2 linked regions of the Anolis sagrei genome follow. The protein of the gene in region 1 purifies or fractionates together with the protein of each later gene. This does not show direct contact. Links are inferred from orthologs where the notes say so. Each region holds a gene or a part of one and is shown in the gene's direction. Other genes may lie near its edges. The genes, in order: RIOK1 and COPRS.

Evidence for each region.
Region 2: the proteins of RIOK1 (region 1) and COPRS purify together in Homo sapiens (affinity purification with mass spectrometry; 3 studies listed by BioGRID and IntAct, with this or other methods). This does not show direct contact. The link is inferred for Anolis sagrei from reciprocal best matches to the Homo sapiens genes RIOK1 and COPRS.

The regions. Positions count from the first base shown.
Region 1 is NC_090024.1:85,105,471-85,121,414, forward strand, and holds the start of RIOK1 (serine/threonine-protein kinase RIO1), read left to right. Parts: upstream 1-8,762; 5' UTR 8,763-8,944; intron 8,945-11,755; 5' UTR 11,756-11,800; coding exon 11,801-11,871; intron 11,872-15,028; coding exon 15,029-15,224; intron 15,225-15,609; coding exon 15,610-15,700; intron 15,701-15,944. UniProt on the Homo sapiens protein: Involved in the final steps of cytoplasmic maturation of the 40S ribosomal subunit. Involved in processing of 18S-E pre-rRNA to the mature 18S rRNA. Required for the recycling of NOB1 and PNO1 from the late 40S precursor.
Region 2 is NC_090022.1:144,738,560-144,754,667, reverse strand, and holds the start of COPRS (coordinator of PRMT5 and differentiation stimulator), read left to right. Parts: upstream 1-7,463; 5' UTR 7,464-7,539; coding exon 7,540-7,578; intron 7,579-12,221; coding exon 12,222-12,294; intron 12,295-14,444; coding exon 14,445-14,678; intron 14,679-16,108. Other genes in the region: UTP6 (U3 small nucleolar RNA-associated protein 6 homolog), read left to right, coding at 856-928, 2,311-2,468. UniProt on the Homo sapiens protein: Histone-binding protein required for histone H4 methyltransferase activity of PRMT5.

The DNA.
Region 1 (15,944 bases):
TCTTAGGGCATATGCCGCGGCAATAAAGGCCGCAAAGAAAACCTTCTTTGCGGCCACTATTGCGTCTGCAAAGAACCGTCCGGCGGAGTTGTTTCGGATTGTCAGAGGTCTTTTAACTCCCACCACTGCGGGCGGGAGCCCTGACAATTCGGTCGCGCGCTGTGAAGCATTTGCTCGGTTCTTTGCAGACAAAGTCGCCTTGATCCGTTCTGGGCTGGACGCCGCGTTAAATGCAGTCTCTGAGGATGTAACAAGAGCACCTGCTTGTCCTATTTTGATGGATTCTTTTCAGTTTGTGAAACCTGAGGATGTGGACAAGATACTTGGAGGAATGAGGCCCACCACGTCCATCCTAGACCCCTGCCCATCCTGGCTTCTGAGGGAGGCCAGAGGGGGATTGGCTGAGTGGGTAACAGTGGTGGTGAATGCCTCCCTTCGGGAAGGCAAGATTCCAGCGAGCCTAAAACAGGCTATTATAAAGCCGCTGTTGAAGAAACCATCACTGGACCCCACTAAATTGGACAACTTTCGGCCTGTTTCCAATCTCCCCTTCTTGGGCAAAGTCATGGAAAGCGTGGTGGCCTCACAACTCCAGGTATTCTTGAGAGACACGGATTATCTGGATCCGGCACAGTCTGGTTTCAGACCGGGACATGGTACCGAGACAGTCTTGGTCGCCTTAGTGGATGATCTGCGCCGGGAGCTAGACAGGGGGAGTGTGTCCCTGTTGGTGCTCCTGGACCTCTCAGCGGCCTTCGATACCGTCGACCACGGTATCCTTCTGGGGCGCCTTGCGGGAATGGGCCTTGGAGGCATTGCTTTGCAGTGGCTCCAGTCATTCCTGGAGGGCCGCACCCAGAAGGTGTTATTGGGGGACTCCTGTTCCGCACCACAGCCTTTGACTTGTGGGGTGCCACAGAGTTCCATACTGTCCCCCATGCTGTTTAATATCTACATGAAGCCGCTGGGTGAGATCATCCGGAGTTTCGGGGTGCGGTGTCATCTGTACGCAGATGATGTCCAACTCTGTCACTCCTTCCCACCTGCTACTAAGGAGGCTGTCGAGGTCCTGAACCGGTGCCTGGCCGCTGTAACGGTCTGGATGAGGGCGAACAAACTGAAATTAAATCCAGACAAGACAGAGGTACTCCTGGTCAGTCGCAAGGCCGAACGGGGTATAGGGTTACAGCCTGTGCTGGACGGGGTCGCACTCCCCTTGAAGGCGCAGGTTCGCAGCTTGGGTGTGACCCTGGACTCATCGTTGAGCCTGGATCCCCAGGTTTCAGCGGTGACCAGGGGAGCATTTGCACAGCTCAGGCTCGTGCGCCAGCTGCGCCCGTATCTCGGGAAGTCTGACTTGGCCACAGTGGTACACGCTCTGGTCACATCCCGCCTTGACTACTGCAACGCTCTCTACGTGGGGCTGCCCTTGAAGACGGCCCGGAAGCTGCAGCTGGTTCAGCGCGCGGCAGCCATGTTACTAACTGGAGCGGGTAGCAGGGAGCACACAACGCCCTTGTTGTCCCAGCTCCACTGGCTGCCGATTTGCTACCGGACCCAATTCAAGGTGCTGGTTTTGGCCTACAAAGCCCTAAACGGTTCCGGCCCAAAATACCTTTCGGACCGCATCTTGGCCTACGAGCCCACGAGGACCTTGAGATCGTCTGGGGAGGCCCTTCTCTCGATCCCGCCTGCCTCACAGGCACGGCTGGCGGGGACGAGGGAGAGGGCTTTCTCGGTGGTGGCCCCCCGGCTGTGGAACACTCTCCCTGCAGACATCAGACAGGCGCCCTCCCTCATGTCCTTCCGAAAAAGCCTTAAGACATGGCTGTTCGAGAGGGCATTTAATTAAGTGCAACAATGTGGTAAAGAATATCGGAATGGAACAAGGAATATGAGACTGGTTATGATTCTACTAAGAGACGAAGCGGATTTTTAATGTTGTCTGTAATTGTTGTTTAGTCTATATGTTGTTGTAACTGGTTTCTTTTGTAAATTGTCTTTTATATGTATTTGTACACCGCCATGAGTCGCCCTAATGGGCTGAGAATGGCGGTTAATAAGTGCATCAAATAAATAAATAAATAAATAAATTCTCCCTCCCACACAGGCAGAGCGGCCGGAGCAGAGGGTGTCTGCAATTGACGGAGCAGCGCCAGGTGGGCATGGCCAGGCCAGGCCGCGCGGGCCAGAGAAATGTCCTCCGCGGGCCGCATGCGGCCCACGGGCCGTAGTTTGGAGACCCCTGGTCTAGCCGACCAAGCCCACCAGTGCCAACCCAGTCTCTCAAGGAAAATTGTATGTACCCTGATCCCCTGTCCAAGCCCACAAAACATGCAAGGGAGTTTTGGTTTGGCTGTGACCTTGTCTACAAAATTGACCTGTTTGTTAATGGTGTCATGGCCACTCCCTAAATGTGGTTGAAAATAAATGTCACTGCATGTCTCTTACTGTTCTAGCATGGCAATAAATATTCTAGTCAATGAATACAGTATTAACACTTACCAATGGTTTAAATACATCGAACCTACCAATCCTTTTTTTACACTATATCAACAGCAGATGTTATTGTTCCAAATACATTTTTATCCCTGTAATACACACAAATTACCTTCTCACGGATCCAAGATAGTTAGCTAACCTATACCTTATATCCATACAGTTTAATTGAATGTAATTTATCATGGAGTCTTCCTCCAAGACCATGACAGAGAGCTCTGGGGAGCCACAGGAATTTTCCTATCATCTTTAGTGCCCATGCAGCATAAAAGGAATTACCATTTGCAAAAAACGGGGAGACAAAGTTTGAGGGACCTCTCAGCACCAGAACCAGGGCTGAAAAAAAGGGTCCCTTCTCAGTTGCCTCCTTCTAGTGGATGGGAATTGAGGCTTCTCTACCTGAACTGGCTGACCAAGACCATCCTGAGGGGGACACACTGCAGGCCAGGGGGGCAACCTCCAGCTGGATCTGCCACAGAGCCTTTCTGCCCACGACTGAGTCCAGGAAAGCAATGGGTGGCACCAACTGTCACAGAAACTTCTGGTCTGCTTGGAACCACCTGGTCTCCTTGGCAACCAGGTAAACACCTCCAGCTTTAGAACCCGGAGCAAAAATGGAACCTTTTCAAATGAAAACCATCCTGGAGCTTCCCTTGGAAAGGGCCCGGCAGGCAGGGTTGTCACATGTGTCCCTGATCCCAATCCTCCTCTTTGAAGAGAAAGTAGAGCCACAAGATTGTGGGCTGAACCCAAAAGGATCCAAAGAGCCTTTTGTAGTCCCCCCAGAGAGACAAACTCTTGAGTTTTCTGAAAAGAAAGGGTTTCTTCCTCTGGCTTGGGACACCTCCATTATCTGCCGCCACCACCTTCCCCACCAGCCAAACTAGGGGCTACCAAGGGGTCCTAGTTCCTCCCGGGAAGCCAACCATTTGGGGACATCGTCCTTTGTTTCATGTTCTGCTTTGGGGTACAAATGCCAAGGGGTAACTGCTTTGCTGACAAACAAATTATAGTCAGCAGCCCGGTCTCTATCTTCAAGTTACCCATCATGCTGCCAATTGCAATATGTGTTTCTTGGCTGATTCTTTTGCCAAATAATTGTGAAGAAGATATCAGTGTGTGAAGACTGCTAGCACACAGGAACTGGAAATGCCAAGGAGTCTGTGACTGGAACAGATAATATGAGAAAAATCAACTGTGATGTGCAAGTAGCAGCAAGATGTAAATTTGACAGGAGAAGAGTGATGAAGTGATGTGGTGCCAGGCGGAGTGGTACATGTTTGTGTTTGTATCTGTGCCACTGATAATTCTAGCTGATAAGATATCTCAAAAATATGTTATATACAGAATACTTTAATCTAAGTGTGCATCTACATGACAGAATTAATGCAGTTTGACACGACTTTAACTGCCATGGCTCAATGCTATGGAATAATGCAATTTGAAGTTTGGTGAGGCATATAATTTTGGGGCATATAAAACTAAAGACATTTAAAAAACTAAAACTTGCACTGAGCAATGGCAATTAAAGTAGTTTCAAACTGCATTAATTCTACAGTGTAGACACACTTGATTACAGTGGTTCCCAAACTTCGGTTCTCCAGAATTCCTAACTGTTAGCCAAGCTGTCTGGGGCTTTTGAGTGTTAAACATTCAAAACACCTGGATGGCCAAAGTTTGACAATCACTGTGATATTTCAAAAATGTATATACCTTATTTAATAATTGGTTATTTGCTTCTTGAAATGTTCCTGTTCTACATCTTACTGGAGCTGTCCATGGGATGAAAAATTTAAATAGACACCCATTACTGTAGTGCTACCTAGTCCTCAGGTGCAGATAGTTATATAAGTACATCATGAACCAAAATAGGTTGCAGAAAAAATTGTGGTAAGGAAACTGATATTTTTAAATTTTAATTAAATTGATTAGTTACCATTTTTGTCTATGTCACTTGTATAAATGCTCTTAAAATACAGTCTAAAAATTGCTTTCAATTATTTTGTTTATGACCCCTCCGTCTGAAACTGTGCCTAGAGTCTGGACAGGCAATTAATTCCTGAAAATTCTGAGTATTGCTTAACAAATCAGTCCATGTTTCCTGCAATTACAGGCCAAATGGTTATCTACCACTTACCAAAAGAGTTTAATTGTAATTGTTAGGAGCCCTGGTGGCATAATGGGTTAAACCCTTGTGCCAGCAGGACTGAAGACCGACAAGTCAGAGGTTCGAATCCGGGGAGAGTGCAGATGAGCTCCCGCTGTCAGCTCCAGCTCTCCGTGCAGGGACATGAGAGAAGCCTCCCACAGGGATGGTAAAACGTACAAACATCTGGGTGTCCCCTGGGCAATATCTTTGCAGACAGGCAATTCTCTCACACCAGAAGTGACTTGCAGATTCTCAAGTCATTTCTGACACCAATTTTTTTTGTAAGAAGTCATTCAGTACAATGGCTGCAATTCTACAAACATATATTTATTTATTTGCAGTATTACATTTATTTATTTGCAGTATTACATTTATTTATTTGCAGTATTAGTATACTGCTTCCTCTCTGTCAAAGAGACTCAAAGTGGCTAATATCAATTTGAGGAAATATATATAAAGAGCTGAGATCTACAGAGAATAGTAGGTTGAAGGAGCAGAAGTAGCTGAACAGCTATTGCAATTGGGGTACGGCCTGAGATCAGTCATTCAGAATGGAGACTACAATGCAGAATTTTATTTTATTTATTTATTTAGAACATTTTTACCCTGCCCTTCTCAACCCCTAGAGGGACTCAGGGCGGCTTACAATTGGCAACAATTCACTGCCGCTTCATAAAATACAAATAGCAAAAATAACAATTAAAACCATTAACTTTAAAATAAAAAAAATAAACAGTATACTTACAATCCATTTAGCTATTGCCAGTCTAGTGGCTATTTTTCTAGCCATATACTAATGATTACTCTGCTTCTCTTATCCAAATCCACTTCCAAGCCATAGCCAAATATCCATTGTCCTTTAACCTGATTGCCTGAAGGCTTGGTCCCACAACCACAATTTTACCTTCTTTCTGAAGGTGAGGAGGGATGATGATGATCTAATTTCCCTGGGAAGTGTATTTCACAGGCGGGGGGGGGGCTACCACCGAGAAGGCCCTGTCCCTCGTCCCCACCAAACGTGTTTGAGACAACAGCGGGGCCGAGAGCAGGGCCTCCCCTGAGGATCTTAAGCTCCGAGGTGGGACGTAGGAGATACGTTTGGACAGAAACGCTGGACCAGAGCCATATAGGGTTTTATAGGTCAAAACCAGCACTCCTCTATTTGTATATACAAATAGAGGAGTGGTATAAGGAAACAGGGATAAGGGGAGATATGCCCAGTTAAATGCACAATTCCAGAGGTTAGCCAGAAGAGATAAGGAACTATTTTTAAATAAGCAATGCATGGAAGTGGAAGAAGACAACAGAATAGGAAGGACAAGAGACCTCTTCCAGAAAATTAGAAACATTGGAGGTAAATTTCAGGCAAAAATTGGTATGATAAGAAACAAAGATGGCAGGGACCTAACAGAAGCTGAAGAGATCAAGAGAAGGTGGCGAGACTATACAGAAGATCTGTATAGGAAGGATAATAATATTGAGGATAGTTTTGATGGTGTGGTGAATGAATTAGAACCAGACATCCTGAGGAGTGAGGTTGAATGGGCCTTAAGAAGCATTGCTAACAACAAGGCAGCAGGAGACGACGGGATCCCAGCTGAACTGTTTAAAATCTTAAAAGATTATGCTGTCAAGGTGATGCATGCCATTTGCCAGCAAATATGGAAAACACAAGAATGGCCATCAGACTGGAAAAAGTCAACTTATATCCCCATACCAAAAAAGGGAAATGCGAAAGACTGCTCAAACTTCCGTACAGTGGCCCTTATTTCTCATGCCAGTAAGGTAATGCTCAAGATCCTGCAAGGAAGACTCCAGCAATACATGGAGCGAGAGTTGCCAGATGTTCAAGATGGGTTTAGAAAAGGCAGAGGAACGAGAGACCAAATTGCCAATATCCGCTGGATAATGGAGAAAGGCAGGGAGTTTCAGAAAAACATCTACTTCTGCTTCATTGACTATTCTAAAGCCTTTGACTGTGTGGATCATAATAAATTGTGGCAAGTTCTTAGTGGGATGGGCATACCAAGCCACCTTGTCTCTCTCCTGAGGAATCTGTACAAGGACCAAGTAGCAACAGTCAGAACTGACCACGGAACAACAGACTGGTTCAAGATTGGGAAAGGCGTACGGCAAGGCTGCATCCTCTCACCCAACCTTTTTAACTTGTATGCAGAACACATCATGCAATGTGCGGGGCTGGATGAATGCAAAGCTGGGGTGAAAATTGCTGGAAGAAACATTAACAACCTCAGATATGCAGATGACACCACTCTGATGGCCGAAAGCGAGGAGGAGCTGAGGAGCCTTCTAATCAAGGTGAAAGAAGAAAGCGCAAAAGCCGGGTTGCAGCTAAACGTCAAAAAAACCAAGATTATGGCAACAAGAATGATTGACAACTGGAAAATAGAGGGAGAAACCGTGGAGGCCGTGACAGACTTTGTATTTCTAGGGGCAAAGATTACTGCAGATGCAGACTGTGGCCAGGAAATCAGAAGACGCTTACTTCTTGGGAGGAGAGCAATGTCCAATCTCGATAAAATAGTAAAGAGTAGAGACATCAGACTGGCAACAAAGATCCGCCTAGTCAAAGTCATGGTATTCCCTGTAGTCACCTACGGATGTGAGAGCTGGACCTTAGGGAAGGCTGAGCGAAGGAAGATCGATGCTTTTGAGCTGTGGTGTTGGAGGAAAGTTCTGAGAGTGCCTTGGACTGCGAGAAGATCCAACCAGTCCATCCTCCAGGAAATAAAGCCCCACTGCTCACTGGAGGGAAAGATACTAGAGACAAAGTTGAAGTACTTTGGTCACATCATGAGGAGACAGGAAAGCCTAGAGAAGACAATTATGCTGGGGAAAGTGGAAGGCAAAAGGAAGAGGGGCTGACCAAGGGCAAGATGGATGGATGGCATCCTTGAAGTGACTGGGCTGACCTTGAGGGAGCTGGGGGTGGTAACGGCCGACAGGGAGCTCTGGCGTGGGCTGGTCCATGAGGTCACGAAGAGTCGGAGACGACTGAACGAATGAACAACAATAAGGAAGCATGGAAAATAGCAATAAATGATAAATTTACATGTATATTAAAGGTTAAAAAAGGTACATGGAAACAAAGCGATTTTGATGCTGTATGGGGAAGATTTGTGGTAAATGGATTAAAAAATAAGGAAGGAAAATTACCGTCACAAGAAGAAATGAAATTTTGGACAGATGAAATGTAAGAATGGTGGCTTGAGACAGGTGGAGGGGAGCACTGTGGTGGAAAAAAGGGGAAAAAAAGAGAAAAAGGGGGGGAAATGTCAAAGCAAAACAACAAAACAACATGTTAAAGAGGCTGATGTACAAAATGCAATAGTGTGTAATAAATGTGATAAATCAATAAAAATTAATTTAAAAAAAGGTCAAAACCAGCACTTCGAATTGTGTTCGGAACTGGATCGGCAGCTGATACAACAGGGGGGTGAAATGAGAATACCGTGTAATAATAATAATAATAATAATAATAATAATAATAACAGTAACTTTAATTTTGTATCTGCCTCTATCTCCCTGAAGGGACTTGGGCAGCTTACATGGGGACAAGCCCATGTAGAATGAATGCAGTTTGACAACACTCAATGCTATGACATTTAGCTGCACTGAACTGCATTATATGCGTCTACACTGTCCTATAATTCAGTTCAAAGCAGATAATTTGGATCTTATATGGCAGTGTAGAAGGGGCCTCACGCAAGGCAACACTAAACCATGAACCATCATGGGGTTTTCTTGGAAAAAAAATCTTGAGAGGGACTTGCCCAAGGTTGCCCAATGGGTTTTCTATGGCAGAGGGCAGATTCGAACCCGGTTCTTTTGAATCACAGGCCTGAGCTTTAACCGCTACGCCACGCTTTCAACGTGTCATCTTTGCAGACGGCGGGCTCATTGCGTCATTCCTGTATGGTCCAATCAAATCCATCAGCGGGAGATAGAATTCCTACATACATACAAGAGAGAATGAGAACACAGACCCAAGCAGTCGTCTGCAGAGGTATAAGCCTCATCGATTGGCGATTACTTTGGGCTGGCTATTAGTCGTGCTTTGGACACAGTTTGTCGTTCCTCCGGGAATAGGAGCCGGCCGCTGTTACGAGAAATGGCTGCGGATGGCCCTCGGAAGGATCCGTAGAACGTAGCTTCTGACGTATTGTGCCGGAAGAAGTGGGATTCGGACCACGTGGGTGGAAAGCTTGGAAATCTTCTCTTTCTCTGTGGTGCTGGAGGTGGGCAAGGGATGCTTGGTGGGAATAGTGTCACTAGGTTTGAATTTTTCTGTTTTTACTCTAAATCACACTGTTTTCTTCTGTAGATGTACTTTTGGTGCCTTTGAAGAAATTGTTTTGATGGCTTGTTTTTTTGCTTTGCTGGAATGGAAAGTATTTTAGATTGGTGTTTCTTTTTGGTACTATTCATTTCCTGTGTAACATTGCTTTCTTTTTAAATGCTTGTTTTCATTTTGCGTGTGAAGAAGGTGGAGGACCTTTATTTTGCTTATGAAGATAATGTAGATATTCTCTTAAATAAATGAACATACAATAATATATGCAGATCTTCTCATGTTACTCCTAAGATCTGCATATGTTAGCAGTAACAAATTCCACAATCTCCTAGCCATAATGGATACCTAACTCATCTAATACATTCATTATTATTGGGGTTTTTTTTTACTTTATTTCTATTCAAGGCGGCTAACAGTCACACACTTTGATCAGTTTACAGCAAAGCAAATACAAAAATTAAAAAACGATTAAATAATAATAATAAAAACTCAGCTGCTATCAAGACCTCAAAATCGAATTGCAAAGTCTCTGGAATAAACCAATACAGGTGGTCCCAGTGGTGATTGGCGCACTGGGTGCCATGCCAAAAGATCTCAGCTGCATTTGAAAACAATAAATATTGACAAAATCACGATCTGTCAGCTGCTAAAGGCCACCTTGGATCTGCACGCATTATTTGAAAATACATCACACAGTCCTTGACGCTTGGGAAGTGTTCGACTTGTGAATTTGTGATACAAAATCCAGCATATATATCTCATTTGCTGTAACATGCTGTGGTTTTGTGTCAATAATAATAATAATAAAACTTTATTTTTAGACTGCTCTCTCTCTCTCCCCGAAGGGACTCAGGGCGATTTACACATACAAAAAGGCAAGCTTTCAATACCTCAAGTGAGTACAAATGTAAATAATACACAATAAAGCCGGCATCCTCAAACCACGGCCCTCCAGCTGTTTGGGCCTCCAACTCCCAGAAGCCCTAATGACCTTGTTCAATTGTCAGGAATTTTGGGAGTTGAAGGCCCAAACATCCGGAGGGCCGTAGTTTGGGGAAGCCTGCAATAAAGCAAAAGTCACAACAATGAGCTTATAACAAACAATTAAGCATAATAATAATAAAACTTTATTTATACCCTCGGAGCAGCTTACATGAGGCCAAGTCCAAAAACACATCAAAGCAACAACAATAATAAAACAACAAGTAATAAACAAACAATACAATCAATAAACTCACAAGTAGAAAATAACACACAAAATTTAAAACTTTAAAGATTGTGATGAAAAATAAAACAAAACAATCCAATAAGACATAGGCAACTAAAACATAAGTAAACATTACAACAAATAACCCCAAAAGCAATTTAAAATACAGTTACATTAAAAATTGTTGGCATCAGTGTTGATTTGAAATGTAACGTGGCAGTCATATAGTACAAGTGGGACTAGCCAGCATTCCAAGTAAAGTGTCTTAGTCCTCCTCCTCTCCATACACTAAAGTGCATAGGTGCATTTTTAGAAGTTTCTTAAAGGAGAGGAGGGTGGGGACTGTTGTTACCTCTTGGGGGGGGGGGGAGTTCCAGAGATGGGAAGCAATAATGGAGAAGGCCCTCTCTCTCATTCCCACCACCTAAACTTTCTGTTCTGTTCTGTTCTGCTTTTAAAACATTGGATTGTATTTCCCCATTAAATTAACCAGATTGTTTCTAATGGGCCAAGTCTGTGGTGTGGTGGATAAAAATACTAATTGTTGCCATTCTGGGAAAAGACGGAAACACCAACTATAGAAGACTGAACAGTGAAGATGTGGGAATTAATAGAAATGGAGAAATTAACAATGTTGTTGAAGAATAAGTCACTGAACATTCTTAGAAAAATGGAAACTATTTTGTCAATATATATCTGAGGGATAAGGACAGACTTTATGTACAGGTTTGGATTCATAGAATGTTTGGATATTCACCTATAAATGTTAAAACAAGCAGAAGTAAACAATTTTCTGGATATAAAGTGAAACCAACAAAAGAGAAGCTGGAAATCCATTTTTAAAACCGATGTATGTATATTGATAGATTTAGAGTTATAAAGTACAGATGTATGTTCATTGTCTATGTTTATGTATTCATAAGTATTGTTCCTTTGTGTGTGTGTGTGTGTGTGTGTGTGTTGTCAAAATTTTTAATTAAAATATTGAGAAAAAAAGATGTCAACATTTTTCATGGCATATTTGGCTGCTCACATTTTTAAAAAGTCTCCTGCAGTTACAGCCCTAGTAAACTTATTTGATGCATTAGGAGGAATAGTCTCTATTCTCTTATCTCTGTGATGCTGGCAAAATTTGATATGTAAATAGATTATTTATGAGTAAAATATTCAAAGGAGTGATCTTACATATCCAAAGTGTCTGTGTCTTTTTGTCAAACAGAAAACACAACATGGTCCAAGTCAGAGAAGGCAGCTTTACTTTTCCTTTTCCATTGGCCATGTTGGGCTGGGCTGATGGGAATTCAGTCCAATACTTCAGGGCCAAGCATATAATTCCTGTTCAGTTTGTAGCACATATGTCTTCTTTTTCAATGCATGATAGTAGTTGATCTTCAGAAGATAATGTTTTACAGACTATGTAGAGATAGAGTACTGCATCTGTGAGTAGTTCCCAGCCAGGATGATTTATGGCATAGTATAATAATAATAATTTGCACTGTTTATAATGCCCCAATACAGTTCACCTGTAATATATTGTGTATACTATACTTTCCTCTTACAACATCTGCATATATTTATTTTGTAGGAAGCAAAAGACTGCACAGATTGTATACATTGGTGACTAGCCAAAATGGATTACAGGGAGGAAATTATGAGCCAGATAGTTCCAGGACAATTTGATGATGCAGACTCTTTGGACAGGTAATTGACAAGTTCTATGGTTTTCAGGTTCTATAATCCAAATGTGGTTGAACTCCAACTTTTATTAACCTTCACTGGGCGGCCGTTGTTGAGTAATTATGGGATTTTATGAATTTTGTTGTTATATTTTAACTATGTTGAACCTTGGGCTTGTCTACATATGAGCCGCCCCAAGTCCCTTCGGGGAGATGGAGGAGGGTACAAAAATAAAGTTGTTGTTGTTATTATTATTATTTGTAGTGCAAAAATGTCTGGTAGGCTACAGCTGCCTGCTTGTGTTGCATTTCAAATAACAGCTCTCGTCACCTATCATCATACTCCAGTTTCTATATTGTTATTTGGATAAATGGAGTCAATATTGTTGTTTGGATAGATGAACAAATGTTTGAGGAATATAGGGAGAAAAATGTGTGCTCGTGCCATAGAGAGCAACAGTATCCTTTCCAAAGGTTTATTCCATCATTCTTAACCTGAACTTGTAGATACAGTTTAAACAGCACAATGCTTTTCAAACTGTGTGTCACAACATGATGGTTTGATGGTAGCAGTGTGTAGGTGTGTCATGTAAAGTTTATGAAAAATAAGCAATAAATCACATATTACACACACACACACACACACACACACATATATATAATGAATTTTTTCATGAGATATGTTGTGTACCCATATATTTGGTTAATACTATATGTATGTATCCCTATCTCTACTAAAGGATTAGTTTAACCTCTGGCTTGATAGGAAAACTGTATGATTGTTTCACAAAATGATGCATGTCTAAAAAGTGTGCCACCAACATGAAATGTTTGGAAAGCTCTGGTCGAGCAGCTTGGTTTCATCAACAGTATGCTCCTGTTGTAAGAAATTCTTGAACTACCTTTAGATGGAGGAAAATGTATGAATTAAGGGTGAAGGTTTAATTCTTGAAGATGGTTAAACTTTGGCTTTGTGTTCTCTCTGCTGAGTTCCTTACACATCTGTATTTATTAGGAGAAAACCATAAACCAATAAATGTGTTCACTAAAATAATGCAAAGGATCCTTCTATTAAAAAACAGGCTCAGGTTCCAGTAGTGGCAAACCACTCATGGAACAGACCATAGATAGTGTTTGCTATTCCCTTTGCTCAAGGTCCAAGACATCCTTGCCCCTGTGGAACAACAGTGGCAGCAGGAGGAATTGGTGGCCATATATTGCTCTAGCTCCATATTTCTTGAATGCCTGGCTTGAAGACGCTATGGAAGGGCTGCCCTGGAAATTTCAAGAAATAGGCAGTCCTGTTGATGCTGCCTTGTTATCACAGCTGCTTTCACTTTTTCCTGGATAACTCCTTCTCCCATATTTTGTTTCCCTGGAATGGTTTCTCAGCTCAGGTTCCATGAGTGCTGAGAAGACTTGGTAGGCCTTGGTGGCCACACTATGTTGACAGCTGTTATGAACACTATTTATTTATGTATTTATTTACTTTGCTTATATACCGTTGTTCTCAGCCCGGGGGCGACTCACAGCGGTGTACAAGATAGAAAAACAAGGTTCAAAATTCAGGACACTATCTAAAATATCAATCTAGCAGTAACCAAAAACATCATTATCAAAAACATCAGCAATATCAATAATACAAACAGCCATTCACGTTGTCTCATCGTTTGAACCACAATCCAGTATCATTTTCCGTTGTTCCATTCCTGTCGTCATTACCAATTATTGCACTTCTTGATCGAACGCCTTCTTGAACAGCCAGGTCTTTAATTTCCTGCGGAATATCATCAGGGAGGGAGCCAGTCTGATGTCCACGGGAAGGGTGTTCCACAGCCGAGGAGCCACCACCGAGAAGGCCCTGTCTCCCCAAAGGCAAAAGACTCCTATCGCTTGTGTAATGCTGCAGAAGAAAGCTGCTGTAGTCCCCTCCTACTGCCAAATGTGATTCAGGATTGCTGTTAAGCTCTGGGTTTACAATGTTGTTGGAATAGCAATTGCAGATCAACAACTTCGGCAGGTTCATATTCTTCCCACTCCTGTATTAAGCCTTAGATTGACTTGGGAAATGTTGAGTAGATCTGAGGCAGTTTGAAGTAGCTTCAAATTGTGGTGGCCAGACAACTCACTCACACAAGTGCATGAAGACAGCCCTTAATATGCATCAATACTCTGGATTGTGTCATCACCATCTGGATTTCAAGGTGGTTCCAGGATTTCATATGCACAGCAAAACCACTTTTCAAACTGTATTAAATGGTCAGTGTAGATGGGACCTGTGTTGGTTAACAGAAGTACATTATTAAATGCATGCTTTCCAGTATTGTTTCATAGGAGCCCCCAGTGGCACAATTGGTTAAACCCTTGTGCTAGCAAGACTGCTGACCGAAAGATCGGCAGCTTGAATCTGGGGAGTGAGGTGAGCTCCCATCTGTCAGCTCCAGCTTCCCATATGGGGACACGAGAGAAGCATCCTATAGGATGGTAAAACATCCAGGTGTCCCCTGGACAGTGTCCCTGCAGACATCTGATTCTCTTACACCATAAGTGACTTGGAATTTCTGAAGTCGCTCCTGATACGAAAAAAAGTATTAGGAAACGTTTAACCTTCCAGTTTTTACAAAATTTCTGTTTTTAATATAAAGGCAGAGAGAATGCTTTCAGGAAGGGGGAGAAGCAGATTTATATGCCAACCTTCAGGCTGTGTAGCTTCCTGGACAAAGAAACAGATGGGAGGTTTTCCACCTACTGCTTCAGCTGGAGAGCAGACTTCACTCCTTCCTCCTCACATGGGAAAGATAAGAGGAGGAATGAAATGTTGCCAGTTTATTCTTTCAGATGTCGCCTTTGCTTTTTCCAATTTTGGGGAGAAAGGAATGGGAAACAAAGCACTTTCAACTCACATTTGCAGAAACTGTCTTCTGGAAGCAATGTCTGAACATGGGAAAGAACAACTCACTTATTGGAGACAGTGGGGAGTCCTTGCTGTAAGGGGAATGTGGTGGAAGTGGGCCCTCCACATTAAAAAAAACCTCATCTCATACAATTTTCAAAATTTTATTAAATACAGGGTTGTTGGTTTTCTTTTCGGGTTTTTAAAATGAATATATTGTTTTTAAAGTTGTTCATTCTTGTCTATTGCATTATATGATTAAGTGTGTGTGTGTATGTTTAAAAAACAGTGGACCTGAACAGGATATTAAAGCAGCTCTGGAAGAGAAGGTGGTAGTAAAAACAGAGCAGTGGCGTTCAATTGAGGAAGCAGATGTGGAAGAATTTTATGAGAGCAGTGAAGGCGAAGAAGATGATTGGGACTGGGATGACGATGCTGGAAAGGTCACCAAGCGAAACCCACTCTCTGGAGGAAGAAACCCACAGGTGTGTTGTGTTTATTGGTTTATTGTGTTTTGAACTGTTATAGCAATATATTACATTTAATAAATCAGTAGTTTCATTTGCATAAATCTATTAGAATGATTAGCATTACTTGCGCACACAGAAAAAAGTAGTAGACATACATACAGCCAGGAAAACTTACAGCAACCTAATCATATCAATATTTGCCACCATCTTTATATATGAAAGAAACTTTGGAAGCAAGTGGCATGGAAGAATTGGGACGAAAGGAGAGATGGGTTTAGATGAGTAGCATTCTTTCCTAATTGTTTGATAGTGGGAATGAGGTTGGGAACATTGAATGTATGCATCTTGAGATTTTTTTTTTAATTAAGGTTCAATTATATCACATACTGTGTTGTTTCAGACAAATAAACAGATTTCTAACAGCAATGCAGCAAAAATGTCTACTCCGACAGACAAAGCCCTACGAAAATTTGAAAATAAAATCAATCTAGGTAAGTGTGAATCTTCAGGATTCTTTCATGAACAGAATTGCCTTAACCCTTCCCTATGCTATCCAGAGCTTTCATATATAGAGTAGAGTCTTGCGTAGCCAATGTAACCGGGCCGGCAGATCGTTGGATAAGCAAAAATGTTGGATAATAAGGAGGAATTAAGGAAAAGCCTATTAAACATCAAATTATGTTATGATTTTACAAATTAAGAACCAAAACATCATGTTTTACAACAAATCGACAG
Region 2 (16,108 bases), on another chromosome or scaffold:
GGGTGTTACAGAATAGAAGGAAATAGAATCCTCCTTAGCAGCTGAGTTGATTGGCAGGAGTCATACCAAAATGTGGGAAAGCACACAGGACTGTGAGTGAGTGGGTGAGACACAGAAAGAGCCATGCTGTTGCGGGAAACACTCATACTCAGGCTCACCAGTGCTTCCTCTCTTCTTGCCGGTCCCTTATAGGAACTACTCCAGTAAAATCAAGCGGCAATAAAAGTACAGGGGTAATTGAAAATGCTCACATCAGTATTAATATTGCAATCTTCTTGGTTGTCACCCCCGGCTCTGGAATTCTCTTCCCAGGGAGATCAGACTAACCCCTCCCTATCCACTTTCCGCAAAGATCTGAAGACACAGATGTTCTGCTGTGTGTTTGACTAAACAATTCCCTCGACAATTGGCCCCAGTTAGGACCCAACATTTTTTACCATGCACTTTACTACTGTTTTACCCAAAATCAGAATGATCCTTCTTATATTGCTCTTATCCTTAACGCTGCTATATGACTTAACCACTTTTCTCATTGGCCCTATCCCCTGAATTGTTGTGCACCAGTTCGCCCACCCATATAGAGGCTTGAATTATGCTAATGTTGTTGGGTGTTTTTTTGCTTGTTTTATATTTTATTATAATTTTGTTTTATGTTGTTTTAAATTGATGTTGTGCATTCTAATGTGCTACGTTTTAACTGTTGATTGGGCTTGGCCTCATGTAAGCTGCCCCGAGTCCCTTTGGGGAGATTGAGGCAAGGTATAAAAATAAAGTTGTTATTACTGTATTTAACTGCCACAAAATGGTAAGGTCAGTGTTTTGATGTCATTTCCCCCCCACTTTTTTGCTTTAAAGGAATCTGGAAAAATGTTCAATATCCGAGAATATTATGAACGAGCCTTGAGGGAGTTTGGCAGCACAGAACCTGGTAAGAAGGCTTTCTGTTTTCCTGCAAGTCTTGAATCTAGTCTCTGCCAGCCTAGTGCCCTGCCAGAGATTTGGGATTTCAATTTCCCCTTGCATGACCAGTGGTCAAGGGCTGTAGTCCACAAAACTCTGGTAGGTATTAGGCGAGGAAAGTCTGGTTAAATTAGTAACATCTCTGCATTAATTACATCTTGTTAAACGGCTAGTCTTATCCTTTCTTTCTGTATATGATTAGTAGTTTATTTTAATGCCCCTTGTTGTAAGCTATCTTGAGACCTGTATGGGTGGAACATAATATGCTTGGGCAGCATGTTTAATCATCAACATCATGAATTAGTTTCATAAGCAGCCCATTTAGCCATCCCTCTTAATTAAATTTCCCTTGGAAGTGAAACCCATTTGCTTTGCAAACAATGAAGGAAGGAATGTTTCCTTAGTAACGGATATCTCTTGTTTTTTGTGGTGGATTTAGGGAAGGGTAGTTCATTACCAGTGACTGATTCTGTCAGCATATACTGTAATCTTAATATGGGTGGAGCTTTCCTTATCTAGAATTTCAGAATCCAAAATGTTATCTCATGCATATATATATATATATATAGAGAGAGAGAGAGAGAGAGACCTAAAAAAAAAAATCCAAAACACTTTTGGTCCCAAACATTTCTGATAAAAAGGATATTTAGTCTGCACAATGTCCAATAAATTTACTTTCTTTTTTAATCCAAAGTCTTCTACCCTTTCTCCAAATTTCTTTGACAGTAGTAGGATATATTTAGCTTAGAATCAGGATTTCCGGAGCACAGCTAGTTGTTAAGTTGTGACTCATCCTCAAAAAGCCACTCATCCAGTCTATCCTCCTATCCCTTCATTTACAAGTCCCCATATGAGCAGGGCAATGGAAACTGATCTTAATTCCTCAAAGTGACTGGCTGTTTTTTTCCCTCAGTGCAGGGGAATGTAGGAGTCTCCTGCTAAGTACTTGTTTCCTACGTTTTACTTTTTGAGAACATTTTTGCTGAAAGATGAGATAGGGGATAGCAGGATGTTTCTTCTAGTCTTGCCTTAGTTATTAGAGAGAAGTATGAGATAGAAATGGAGATTCACAAGCTATTATTACTACCACAAGTTCTTTACCCCTCTCAACTTCAGATTACCCAGTCTTCTGAAGGAGTAGCCATGGACACTATACCAGTAGGGAGGATTGAGTTCTTTGTCCTTATGCTGAAGTGCACCAAAATACTATAAAGTTGACAAATCCATGGGTATCCACACAGATACATAGGACTATGTATAGTTAATTTTTTTGACCTACAGTGAGTTGTTTTTCTTTCATGTTTCTCTTTTCTTCTTACAATCTTAACTGGGTTTTCTTTTCATTTGAAGATCTTTGGCTGGATTACATCAGGGAAGAGCTGAACCATCCTGAAGGCAAGCCAGAGAATTGTGGCAATATTCACTGGAGAGCAATGAAAGCTTTGCAGGGAGAACAAGTGGACACTTTTATTTCAAAGTACACTTTGCTGCAAATTGGACACCTGTGAGCAATGTTGTGACTGATGTGGATCAGAAGAACTACAGATCAATATAAAACATTCCTTTCCCTCCCTAAACACTTTGTATGCTTCATTCTTCCAAAGGCAAATACATATTTAGTTCTGTCCTGGATAAAAAAAACCAGTATATACTGATGGCTTTTTCATAGATTTCTGTGAGGGCAAAAAGCTGGGATGAGGAACATAGTTTGTCAAGATTGGTGCTGTTGGGGTGAGCACACAAAATAAACATTTCCAAGTTTTTCATTTTTACCCTGGCTAGGAAAAAAGATTACATTTATTACTGTGCAACATCCACTGTGTTGAGCCAAAAGAATGTTACTGATAGTCTACCTGTCTATATTTTTTCTACTTTTATTGTTATGCCCTGCTTAAGTTGGCTCAGTATGTCCCAGAAACTCAATTGGACAGGTGGAACCAACAAGAGAGGGGAAGGAGTAAAGACCACTTGAAGCAGATCTTTCCAGAACACTTTCTTGCCAGCTACAAAACAGATCAGTCTACTACCCAAAAGTGGGCAAGATCTTGTGGTGGTGGTGTAACAGTGAACGTTGCATTTTCTCATTAACTTTGTGAGACCAATGGGATCTGCCCCCCCCCCCCCCCCACTAATTATATCATTTGGCAATGAGGCTGGTGCAGGAGGGGAAAAAATCATCACTATCCTGAAGATGCAATATGAAAAACTTGATTCCTCATAGCTATTCCTGACATGATAAATAGTGTGTGGAAATACATTAAAGCAGAGTTTCACCATGGACCCTGACTCCTAAGTCCCATTTGTGGCTGCGGACCAACAAGACTCAAGATTTTAGGCACTAGACCAGGCATGGGCAAACTTAGGCCCTCCAGATGTTTTGGACTTCAAGTCCCACAATTCCTCACTAAACATAGTTTTGCAAGACAATTAAATCAAATTCTCAAAATGTTGGTGTGTTAGATCAATTCACTTAAAATACAGTCCACAACAAGGTTGTTACACATTCACAGGTTTCGCTGAAGGGATGATATCTATTTGGAACAGATTTATTTTTAAATTACAAAGAAAATGATACAGTAATTAGTATGTTTTCAATCAAGCAGGCCCTAATAATATTATCCAGGGGGCCTGAAATGTTGATCTTCAATTTCATTGCATTTTATGGAAAAAGTGGTAAATCTTGTCAACACAAGCATTTGTGAGTCAAGGAATGATTATTTGATGCAAAATACAGCCATATGATCTTATTTGTTAAGACTCACAGAACTACAAACACTGCAGGTCAGATATTGGATGCTGTCCTTTTCAGGCATTTCAGTCAACATCTGATCACGAGACAGCTCCGTCCTCATTATTTGTGTAAAAAAAAAAAAATACATGTCCTGTGGGGTTCCTCGGGGTACTGTTTTGTCCCCCATGCTGTTCAACATATATATGAAACTGCTGGGAGAGGTCATCTGGAGTTTTGGAGCTTGGTGTCATCTATATGCAGATGACACCCAACTCTACTACTCCTTTCCACCTAAAGCTAAGGAAGCTGTCATAACCTTAAACTTGTGTCTGTCATCCGTAATGGCCTGAATGAGGGGAAACAAACTGAAGTTTAATTCAGACAAGACAGAGGTACTCCTGGTCTGTGGGAAGGCAAATCAGGGAATAGGGGTCCTCCCTATCCTGAGGACACACTCCTAAAGACACACGTCTACAGTTTGGGGGTCATCTTGGACTTGGAGCTGAACCTGGAGTCCCAGGTGTTGGCAGCAACCAGGAGGGCTTTTGCACAATTAAAAATGGTGTGCCAACTGTGCCTGTTCCTTGGGAAGCCAGATCTGGCCATGGTGGTACATGCCTTAGTTACATCCTACCTGGATTACTGTAATGTATTCTATGTGGGGCTGCCTCTGAAGAGTGCTCGGAAACTTCAGCTGGTCCAAAGAGCTGCAGCCAGGTTGCTCACTGGAGCTGGCTGGAGGGAGCGGACAACCAGCGTTGCATCATCTCCACTGGCAGCCAGTCTGTTTCCAAGCACAATTCAAAGTGCTGGTTATGACCTTTAAAGCCTAGACCCGTGATGGCGAACCTATGACATGCGTGCCAGTACTGAAATGCGTAACCATTTCTGATGACACGCAGCCGCATATAGAGAAGCACGGAGTCACATGCCAAGGACGTTTCATCCTTGGCTCCTGCATGGACGAGTGCAGTAGCCAAGGATGAAACATTTGCTGTAGTGTAGACACACTGTGCCGGAGGTCTGTAGGCCAAAATAACAGCACTCTGCCACAAAGCGTTTAGTTCTGGGACTTCTGGTTAGGCCGTTAGGGGATATTTGACCTCACTTCCAGCCGGCGTAGCAGAATGCCGCGGGGATGCATCTTTGGGGGCCCTGTGATCGCCATTACTAGCAACCACATAACCACAGCAACCATCATCCAATCTACTGTTCTGGGAAGCCAGAAATAAGTGAGGGGGAAGCTGGGAGGTAAGGGTCTGTGCTATGGGTGCCATTTCCCACCATTAGGAACAGTGGCAGCCATCTTAATTTACACTAAGCAGGTAAGTTAAACAATTAGTTTTTGGTTTATTAAAAATTGTATATTATAATTATACTTTTTATTATTTAAACTATAAATATCACAAAATTAAGTTTTTCCCCCCTCAAAGTGACACCCCACCCAAGCTACGTTGTTCCGTCTTCTTGGAGCATGGTTTACATTGCCTTTTAGCTGCATGGGTTAGCATTCTTTTGCATTTCCCCACGGTTGCTACAATTTCAGCTGCACCCTGAAAGTTAACAGCATCAGAGGCTGGAAAGCCAGCCTGCAGGCCTTTTTGCAGCTATTGGTGTAGAAAGTATCTCTTTGGGTTAGGAGTCCGCCTTTTTTTCCTGGGCTTGAGATCTCCATTTTGGAACCTCCCCTGCCTCCTTCAGTTTTAGAGAAAAGCCTCAGATGTGCTGTAAGACCAGTCAGAGAGCTCTGAAAAAAATCATTGTAAGTACAATTGAGTAAAGGAAAGAATTGAGTCTTAATTGAGTTATTAAAAAAGACAATTGAGTCTTAATTGAGATTTCAAGCTATTTAGTATAAAGGACTATTGAGATAGTTATTGAACACTGTTTGCTTCATCTCCAAAACTAACCTTGGGCTGGAATAGGGAAGGCCTACACTTTCTAAAAGATAGTAGCTCAGGGTTGGGGTAAAAAGATCTCAGGATTTTTTCTACCATTTGGAGGAAGGCAACTCAGCGACTAGAGGAAAAAAGAAAGAAAGAACATCTCTATGGTTTCACTAATTGACTGTTTTGTTTGTAACTTTGACCAGCTGTGCCAAGTCTGCAAGGACTTTGAGAAATAAATATTCTGTTTTGATGTTCCAAACCTGAAATGGCCTCAGTTGCTGAGAATTTTTGAGCTTCTAAAGAAAGACCCCTGCGGTCCGCCCAGACAAAGAGAGAAGCACATCTTAGTTTTAATTTTATAGGATCTGGGTGTGACAGCACATACATTTTTTGGGGGCAAATTTTGACACACTCAGCAAAAAAGGTTGCTCATCACTGGCCTAGACGGTTCAGGTCCAGGCAATTTGGTCCACTGCATCCCCTTGTAGGAACCTGCCCGGGCCCTGAGGTCTTCAGGAGAGGCTCTTACCTGTGTCTCACCTCCATTTCGAGCTTGTTTGGTGGGAATGAAAGAACAGGCCTTCCTTCTCAGTGGCCGCTGCCCCTCGACTTTGGAACTCCCTTCTTTTTCCCAGGGAATAATAATAAACCTTTATTTATACCCCACTACCATCTCCCGCAGGACTCGGTGCGGCTTACAAGAGGCTGAGCCCAAAATACATCAGAAAAAGACACAACCACAACAATACAATACAGCAATAAATAACTCATAGCAAAGCAAAAACAATAACACAATATCACGACGCAATTTAAAAACCTGGCAGGGCTAATGTAAAGGTTAAATTTTTTTTAAAATGCTGGGCATGACAAGGTAAAAAAGGATGGATATTTTGGGGGGTAAGTGGGTGTGCAGACAATTCTAACTCTCTCGTAAAGTGCATTTGGGACATATTGCTTGGGATTCCTTAATCTGGGAAGGCACACTGGAATATCAATGTTTTCAAGCTCCTCCTGAAGACTGCCAATGTTGGGGCATGCCTGATGTCCTTGGGGAGGGAGTTCCAGAGTTGTGGGGCCACCACCAAGAAGGCCCTGTCCCTCATTCCCACCAATTGCGCTTGCGATGCAGGTGGGATCGTGAGCAGGGCCTCTCCAGATGAACGAAGAGATCGTGTGGGTTCATATACGGAAATGTGGTTATTATTATTATTATTATTATTATTCCCAGGGAAGCCAGAATGGCCACTTCCCTACAGTCCTTAAGACAGCAGGCTAAAACCTTCAATTCAGCGGGTGCTGTGCTTTTGTGATGCGTTTTTATGTGCTTTTATGGTTTATAACCTGGATTGTTTGAATATGAATGTTGTTTCATACTGCTTTAATATTTGTATATTTGAAGTTGGACTGAACTGCTTTTAGTTGTGAGCCGCTTTGAGCCTCTGTATGGAGAGAAAAAGAGGGATATAAATAAATATTATAATAATATACTTGAATTCAAAGCAGATCATGTGGATTCAGAAACTGAATGATAAGGCAGTGTGGATGGGGCCTGAGAGGATGGCAAAGACAGCCTCCTTCCCTTGAACAAGTTGTTCTCAACCTGTGGGTCCTCAGGTGTTTTGGCCTACAACTCCCAGAAATCCCAGCCAGTTTACCAGCTGTGAGGATTTCTGGGAGATGAAGGCGAAAACACCTGTGGGTAAGGCAAGAGAAGAGGCCTGAGGGAAGTGGAGGCAAGGCGCATGCGCGAGGATCCCAACGGCGCGCGGCGCTCCTTCTCTATTCGGTGGTTCCCTCCAGTCAATCCCCTCCCTCACCTTTCCGCGTGCTGATAGAGCGGACCACGTGACCCCCCCCCCTTTGTTGAGGGAGTTGCTCTTCCCCTCAGATAAATAGGTCGTCGTCTTGTGTTGGGAAGGAAGTGTGTGTGTGTTTGTGCGGCAGAGTTTGAGCAGCAGGATGGAGGGGGCCGAGCAGCGAGGTCCCCTGGAGCAAAGGGTGAGGAAAGAGGCCCTGGGTGGAAGGAGAGAGAGTGAGGGACCTCCAGGCCTCTCCTGAGGGAGAGGAGAGAAGCCCAAAACTGAGGCTTTAACACACTGTGGAGCAGGCATGGGCAAATTTGGGCCCTCCAGGTGTTTTGTACTTCAACTCCCACAATTCCTAACAGCCCTTTCCCCCTCAGCCTGGAGGGCCCTAGTTTGCCCATGCCTGCTGTAGAGTTAGTATAGTTTGACTTCCCTTTAACTGCCCAGAGGTGTGGAATCCTGGAGGTTGCCCTTGTAGTAGGGCCACTGGCGAGGCACAGAAGGCCTTGTGGAACTATAAATCCCAGGGTCCCAGGCATTCAGCCACGGCAGTTCTGGAATGAAGTTACACTTCAGAATAGGCTGCCTTTATTACCTCCCTCATAAAACACAAAGTGCACATGTTTATCTTTTATGCTATATTTTAGAGCAGGGGTCCACAAACTTTTTAAACAGAGGGCCAGGTCACAGTCCCTCAAACTGTTGGAGGGCCGGATTATAATTAGAAAAAAAACATGAATGAATTCCTATGCACACTGCACAGATCTTATTTGTAGTGCAAAAAACACTTTATTATTATTTATTATTAACTTTATTTATTATTAACTTTATTATTAACTTTACAAAGGCCAAGGCCTCGATACACAGCATAACAATACAAAACCTAAAGCAAATTAAAAACAATTAAAGCAATATTAAACAATAAACAATACACCAAAACACAATAAAACTGGGCCGGGCCAGAGTAATGGGTACAGAATTAAAAGTGCTGATGTGACAGGTGGTATATAAGGATTATAGGGTAAGTGCAGTGTGCGGCAATCTTAGTTCTAATAAAGTGCTTCTGGGACTTGGTATTGGAGATTTCCTATTTTGGGAAGGCACATCGGAACAGCCAGGTCTTCAAGTTCTTTCTAAAGACCGCCAATGTAGGGGCCTGTCTAAGATCTTTGGGGAGGGTGTTCCAGAGTCGGGGGGCCACCACAGAAAAGGCACTGTCGTGTCCCCACCAAACGCACTTGCGACACAGGCGGGATCACTAGCAGGGCCTCTCCAGATGAACGCAGTGAACGCGTGGGTTTGTAAACGGAAATGCGGTCACGCAGATAGGATGGCCCCAAACCGTTCAGGGCTTTGTAGGTAAGCACCTGCATGTTAAATTGGGTTCAGAAAATAAACGGCAGCCAGTGGAGCTCCTTGAACAATACAATAATTAAAATTAAGAACAATATTAACAAATATAAACTTATTAGTATTTCTATGGGACCTGTTTTTGGCTGATGAGATAGGATTGTTGTTGTTGTGTGCTTTCAAGTCGTTTCAGAGTTAGGTTTGCCCTGAGCGAGGGCCGGGTAAATGACCTTGGAGGGCCGTATCCGGCCCTTGGGCCTTAGTTTGAGGACCCCTGTTTTAGAGGAAGGAACTAGGAAAACTGCCTCTGAGTCTTCCATGACCTAGGAAACCCTGTAAAATGTATATGGTTGTCATAAGTTGACAGAACAGCTTTCTAAATACTCCTTGCTTGTTTTTAGGAGAAACATTTATTGTCTCAAAGGTTTACTTTGATATAGAAGTGAGGTGGAAAACTCTTATGAAGAGGTGTAATTGAATTAAGATATTTTTATTTATTGTTGAAGGCTTCCATGGCTGGAACCACTGGGTTGTTGTAAGTTTTTTGCACTATATAGCCATGTTCTAGAAGCATTCTCTCCTGACATTTTGCCTGCATCTATGGCAGGCATCCTCAGAGGTTGAAGAAACAACATCACTGTGGTCTTTTGAATTCTGACGTCTTCTTCCTACTTCTCCAGGTCCTGTGCCAGGGAGTTCCTCCAATGGATTGTTGTAGGTTTTTTGGACTGTATGGCCATGTCCTGGAGGCATTCTCTCCTGACATTTCACCTGCATCTATGGCAGGCATCCTCAGAGGTTGTGACCTCACAATCTCTGAGGATGCCTGCCATAGATGCAGGTGAAACGTCAGGAGAGAATGCGTCTAGAACACGGCCATACTATTTATTTATTGACTTTGTTTATATACTGCTTTTCTCACCCCAGGGGGAACTCAAAAGCAGTTTCCAACATATTCACGGCATAATTTAATGCCTTACAAAACATAAAAACCTAACATAAACAACAGTAACATAAAGCTATCAATTAAATCATAAAACGTAATTATATTTAAACAAGGAATTAAAAACATATTAATATGAACATTAAATCACATGATCCAAAAGCATGGTCCAGACCGTTCCAGTATCAAATAACAATTGATAACAATACTAAAATGATATTGTGAGTCCTGGGACCAGAGTAGAGCAACTATATGAAAGGAAAAACACACATAAATTACTATTTTTTCCTGTCTAAGAATTTGTAGGTCTTTCAGCATGACACTATGGTCAGTTTCTACTGGAGGGTCATCATAGAAGTTAATGGAAGGAACTTGAGATTCCTAGAAAGATGTTATGTCTGGAAATCTCAAGATTCTCCTGCTTGATTGGAGGAAGTTTATCCTTGACACATTAGAGGGCTCAGAGAATCCCGGAGAGAAAATTTAAATCAATCCATGAATAAACAAATCTTCTAAAGTCAAAAGCACATATATGAAAGAATGACTGTATTTGAATATTGAGTCATGGCTTTGGAGAGTTAGGATGGTGACAATAAGATAATGGTAGTAGGTGGGACTTTTGAATTATGCAAGATTATAATGTTTAGGATTAAGACAAGGATCTGATTTCTAGAGAGAAAAACACTGCATTAGGATAGTGTTTCAGCATATTAGGAAAGGAAGAAAAACCCAGAAGTTTACAAATGTTTGTGTAGTGGAGAGTAAAGGTGACGTCTATGTAACATCTTAAGTAACATTCAATAAAATTATATTTGTTTTTTAAGATAAGCATGGCTATACTGTGCTTGCTCCAGTGTAAAAGTAAAGTTGAATGAAGAGCCTAAAATAAGATCCATATAAACAGAGACAGCTGTAGATCTTGGTAGCAACACTACACTTGGAAAAGTGTGAATATATGAGATGGGATCTCCATAGGTGGTGATTAGCATTTTGATCATGTTAGCATCATAACATGGACTCACTAAATCAGTGGTTTCCAACCTTTGGGCCTCCAGGTGTTTTTGACTTCAGTTCCCACATTTCCTAACAGCTGGTAAGCAGGCTGGGATTTCTGGGAGTTAAAGTCCAACCTTTGGAGGCCCAAAGGTTGGAAACCACTGCACTAAATCAATGGAAACTTGGTAAGTCAATACATAAGTTCCATTGATTCAGTGGGATTAATCCTAAATCCTAGCAGGATTTAGGCCCAAGAAATAAGATTTTCTGTCTGTGGAAATCCTAATTAAAATATTTATATAATATGAAGAAACTGGAGCAGTGTTTCTCAACCTTCCTAATGCCGCAACCCCTTAAGACAGTTTCTCATGTGATGACCCCAACTATAAAATTATTTTCGTTACTACTTCATAACAGTAATTTTGCTACTGTTATGAATCGTAATGTAAAATCAGATATGCAGGATGTATTTTCATTCATTGGACTAAATTTGGCATAAATACCCGATACACCCAAATTTGAATACTGGTGGGGTTGGTGAAGGGGAGGGATTGATTTTGTCATTTGGAAGTTGTAGTTGTTGGGATTTATAGTTCACCTACAAGCAAAGAGCATTCTGAACTCCACCAACGATGGAATTGAACTAAACTTGTCACACAGAACACCCATGGCCAACAGAAAACACTGGAAGTGTTTGGTGGATGTTGACCTTGAGTTTTTTAGTTGTAGTTCACCTACATTCAGAGAGCAGTGTGGATTCAAACAATATGGATAAAACTTGGCATGAGTACTCAGTATGCCTAGAAGTGAACAGTGATGGAGTTTGAAACAGTAGACCTTGACATTTGGGAGTTGTAGTTGCTGGGATTTATGGCTCACCTACAATCAAAGAGCATTCTGAACCCCACCAACAACAGAATTGGGCCAAACTTCCTACACAGAACCCTTATGACCAACAGAAAATACTGTGTTTTCTGGTGGTCTTTGACAACCCCTCTGACACCCCCTTACAACCCCCCCCCCCCCGAGGGGTCCAGACCCCTGGTTGAGAAATGCTGAGCTAGAGTTAAGAAACTTTTCCAGTGTATTGAAAAGTGTTATCATTGTGAACTGGACAGTTAAATTTGGACAATTTAAGGACAGTGTTGTGTGCTTATGTGCACAGACAAATGCATTTGGTCACACCTTAGTTTGATCAGATTCCTTCAGATTGTGGAATAAATATAAAAATGTATATCTGGCAAAGAAAAAAGACAATTGCCTGTGATAGATGTTAGGATAGGTTTTCTGTGGCCTACAAGAGGATTTCTAAGCAGATGTTGCAAATAATCAGCAACTAACAACGTTTCATGTTATAATGTTTCATATTCACATAGAATAGATGCACAGAATGGTAACACATATTTTGATAACAGAAATATAAAATATAGAACATAATAAACAATTTTGCAGAGGTAAAACAAGTATAGGATTATTTAGTACCTATCAGAATTCTTACATTATATAATAATTTGACTTACACCAGCATTTCTGTTCTGCAAATAAAGGTTGATGGATCTGCTTTTGCTGTTCAGAAGGAAATAGAAGTGGCGAAGATTTTCGGCTGGAAGCCTAGGAAAGGTATTTCAAAGGGGTTGGTGGTGGGGAATGATGTGAGAGGTACAACTTCAGTTTACTGCACAAGATATTTCCATTTTCTTGGAAGAAACATGTATAGCACTGTATGTTTCTCTTCCAAGTACAGACCCTGAAATAGGCCTTGGATAGCAAGGCTGGGAAAGAGAAGAGCCAAGAGAGTGTGTTTGTTTAGGTGGACAATTGGCCTTGTTTAAAGTAAAATGGTTCTTTATGTTGTAATATTAAATTTACGGCGCTCCATGCAGTCATGCCAGCCACATGACCTTGGAGGTGTCTATGGACAACACCTGCTCTTTGGCTTAGAAATGGAGATGACCACCAACCCCCAGAGTTGGACACAGCTGGACTTAATGTTAGGGGAAAACCTTTACCTTTTTATTAATTTTTATAGCCAGAAAAAGCATAATGCATTTAATATATCTGGAGTCTTCAGTGATGATTTAAAGAACAGAAAATTTGTGAATACTGGTTTTCTAGTTGTCTTCTACACACGAAAGTAAATGTGTTCTTTTGATCATTATGGTGTAAGAGGGGCAGCTCTCAGAAGCAGATATATTGATACTTAAAGGCCCCTGTGATGGGGTTTAAGATCAGAGCACAGCTGGTACACTGCCTGAATGTAGCACCTGCTTTTTGTTGTTCAGGATGTAGCTATATATGGCATACCGGGATAAATCAGCAGTCCACATGGTGGGTGTAGAAAGCAAGCCTTACTAAATTAAGGAGCTATATGTGGTTTTTTTTCATATTAGGAGCAACTTGAGAAACTGCAAGTCGCTTCTGGTGTGAGCGATTGGCCGTCTGCAAGGACGTTGCCCAGGGGACGCCCAAATGTTTTGATGTTTTACCATCCTTGTGGGAGACTTCTCTCATGTCCCCAAATGGGGAGCTGGAGCTGACAGAGGGAGCTCAACTCACTCTCCCCGGATTCGAATCGCTTAGCAATGCTTAAAGCTTAGGGAGGTGATTGGGCTTCAGTCCTGCCAACACAGGGGTTTAACCCACTGCACCACCGGGGGCTCCTTGCTATATGTGTTAAGTCCTGGGGATAGGAAAATGGTAAGAGATTGTGGTTGTTGAAGCTCTGAAATCAGAAATTCCCAAAATCATTTGGCCTACTGCCCCCTTTACAGAAAAAAATTACTCGGCATCCCCCTTCAAATCAACCTTGTTTAAAGTGAATAAACAGAAAGATGCCATGATAACATCCTTTTATGTAGCTGTGTTTCTACCTACATCCTACAACATGGTAAAGAAAGATGTTATTGTGGGTAAAGACTAAATATAGCACATGATAATATTAATATTCAGATAATGAAGGGTAATATTAAAATAAAAATTACAAATATCATTAAAATAACCCTAAATGAGAAGAATGAACTTGGTGTGCTGCTATCAATGTATTAATGTTCATCTCTATTTTTGTCAGCATTAATTAATTTTTTAAAACACTTCCCGGTACTGCACTTGCACTATTAACTGCTTTTCACACAATTTAGAAACTAAATTAGATTTCATACATGTCACCTATTTATAGTGTTGTGTTGTAAACAAGTCATTGCACACATATTTCTGCTAGTGCATGCTGGATTTCCTGACAATGGATGACACTCTCACTTGTCAATACGTGCTTGGTCAAGTCCACTATCAAGACCTGACAGTGGACTTGACCACTGATTTGTTATAACTTGTGTTTTGTGTGTTCATTTGCAAAATAAAGTAATCACAACAGCTTTAATAACTCTTATGTAACAATGAAACATATATGAACATGTGTTGTTGAAGTGTTTCATGGCTGGAATCACTGGGTTGCTGTGAATTTTTCAGACTGTATGACTGTGTTCCCTAAAGTTCCACCTGCATCTGCTGCTGGCATCTTCAGAAGTTCTGTGAAGCAAGTGGAGTGTATTCTGTGGAATGTCCAGGGTGGGAGAAAGAATCCGTGTCTGTTTAAAGCAAGTGTGAACGATGCAATTAGCAAGCTTGATTAGCATTGAGTAGCCATGAAGCTGCAAAGTCACCCAGTGAGGGTATCTGCATAGAGGTAGCCTGGCCTCTGTTGTAGTTTCATGGCTTGTTTGATAACAATAGGAATTCACCTCCCCTAGAATTTAAAGGAAATGTTCTTTCAGTGTTTCTAGGTCTGATGGGAAGGGTAGGAGAGAAGGCAACAGACACTTATAGTGATGCAGAATCCTTTGAAGATTTGGAGACAGACAGTGAAGAGTGTTGGGAATCGGGTGGTGAAGATAGCAGTGGGCCCATCACCAGTACAACTTCTCCTGAGATGAAAGTTACACTCCAGCATGAGAAAGAGGACTGGGATTCAGAGTTGGCAGACACTGAAAACGGAAACAATCCTTACGGTAGGTAGATCCTGGAATTAAAAAAACAAAAACAAATAATGATAGAAAGTCATGTGACTGGGTAGAGTGCATTGTGAAAAGGGGATTTCATCCTTGAAACCAGTGCAAGTATTTCTGCAAGGTGTCTGTATTTGAGAAAAATCTTAACGTTGACCTTTTAATTCACCAAAAAAGGAAATTACCACTATTGCTTCTGTTGGTTTCCGATCTCTGATATAAGGTGCATCTTCACTGTAGAATTAATGCTGTTTGACACCACTTCAACCATCACTAATCAAGGCTATGGGAGTTGTAGTTTTATAAGATCTTTTGCTTTATATGACAAAAAGTGCTGGTGCCTCCAAACTACAACTCCCAGGATTACAGAGCATTGAGCCATGACAATTTAAAGTGACGCCAAACTCCATTAATACTAGAGTATTTCTGGTATATCTAGAAGTTTATACAGTAGAAAAACCTAATAGTACAAGTGATATTGTGGTCCTTTTAAAAACCAGTATTAAAAATTACAACATCAAGAGTTTGTGCTACTTTAAAGACCAATGAGTTTTATTTGACATACAAGCGTTCATGGACTGCAAACTGTTTTAAGGTGCCACAAAACTCTTAGTTGTTTGCATTGCAACAGACTTTCACAGCTATCTCCCTTTAAATTTTGTACATCAAAAAAGAATTGAAGCAATATGGGATGCTGAATTGAGAACAGTTGTGTTCTGAATTTATCCCAGTATTTCTGTAGTTCAGTTATTCCTGAGCTATGTTTTGAACACGTTTTTGCCTGTCTCTAGAAAACAGCTGTAATAGTGCATAAAGAGGTATCTTATAAAATCTTGCATTATCATTGTTTCCTGTGATTGTTTGTTTTTCCAGCCATTAAGGCCATTGGCATAGAAATGCAAGCTAAATCAAGAAGTGCTTTATTTAGTTTTTTGTATTGCTCTCTTTCCTTGCACAAAAATGTCTCTGGCTTTCCTTGCATATTTTCCCACAAGCGTAAGAGAGATGTGTGGGTGAGTTAGGTGATCTGTAAGTAATCTGCATTTTTAGTCATCCTTCCTTTTCCACAGTTTATGATTGTAGCACTAACTTGGTACACTGTGATTTTTTATGCATTCCTACTTTAAAGTCCTCACTGGTTCTTCGGGGTTAAAACGTAAATCAAGGCATCTTATTACAGGGTCTTCACTGTTCTTTTCATTTTAATAAGTTATTGTGAGGGCCATCTGTGAATAATTCATTTGCTTCTAGCTTTCAAATTGGAAAGTAACAATATCTTTCCTACTTGCATGAAACACCTCATAGGTATCCTGCATGTCCTAAACAGAGAAATTTTCTGTTTTATAATACTTATACCTGGTAACTGTGTCTATTATACCTGTTTGGAATATTTTGGGGATACTTTGGGGAAGGAGTTTAGTCATGTTTCCTGC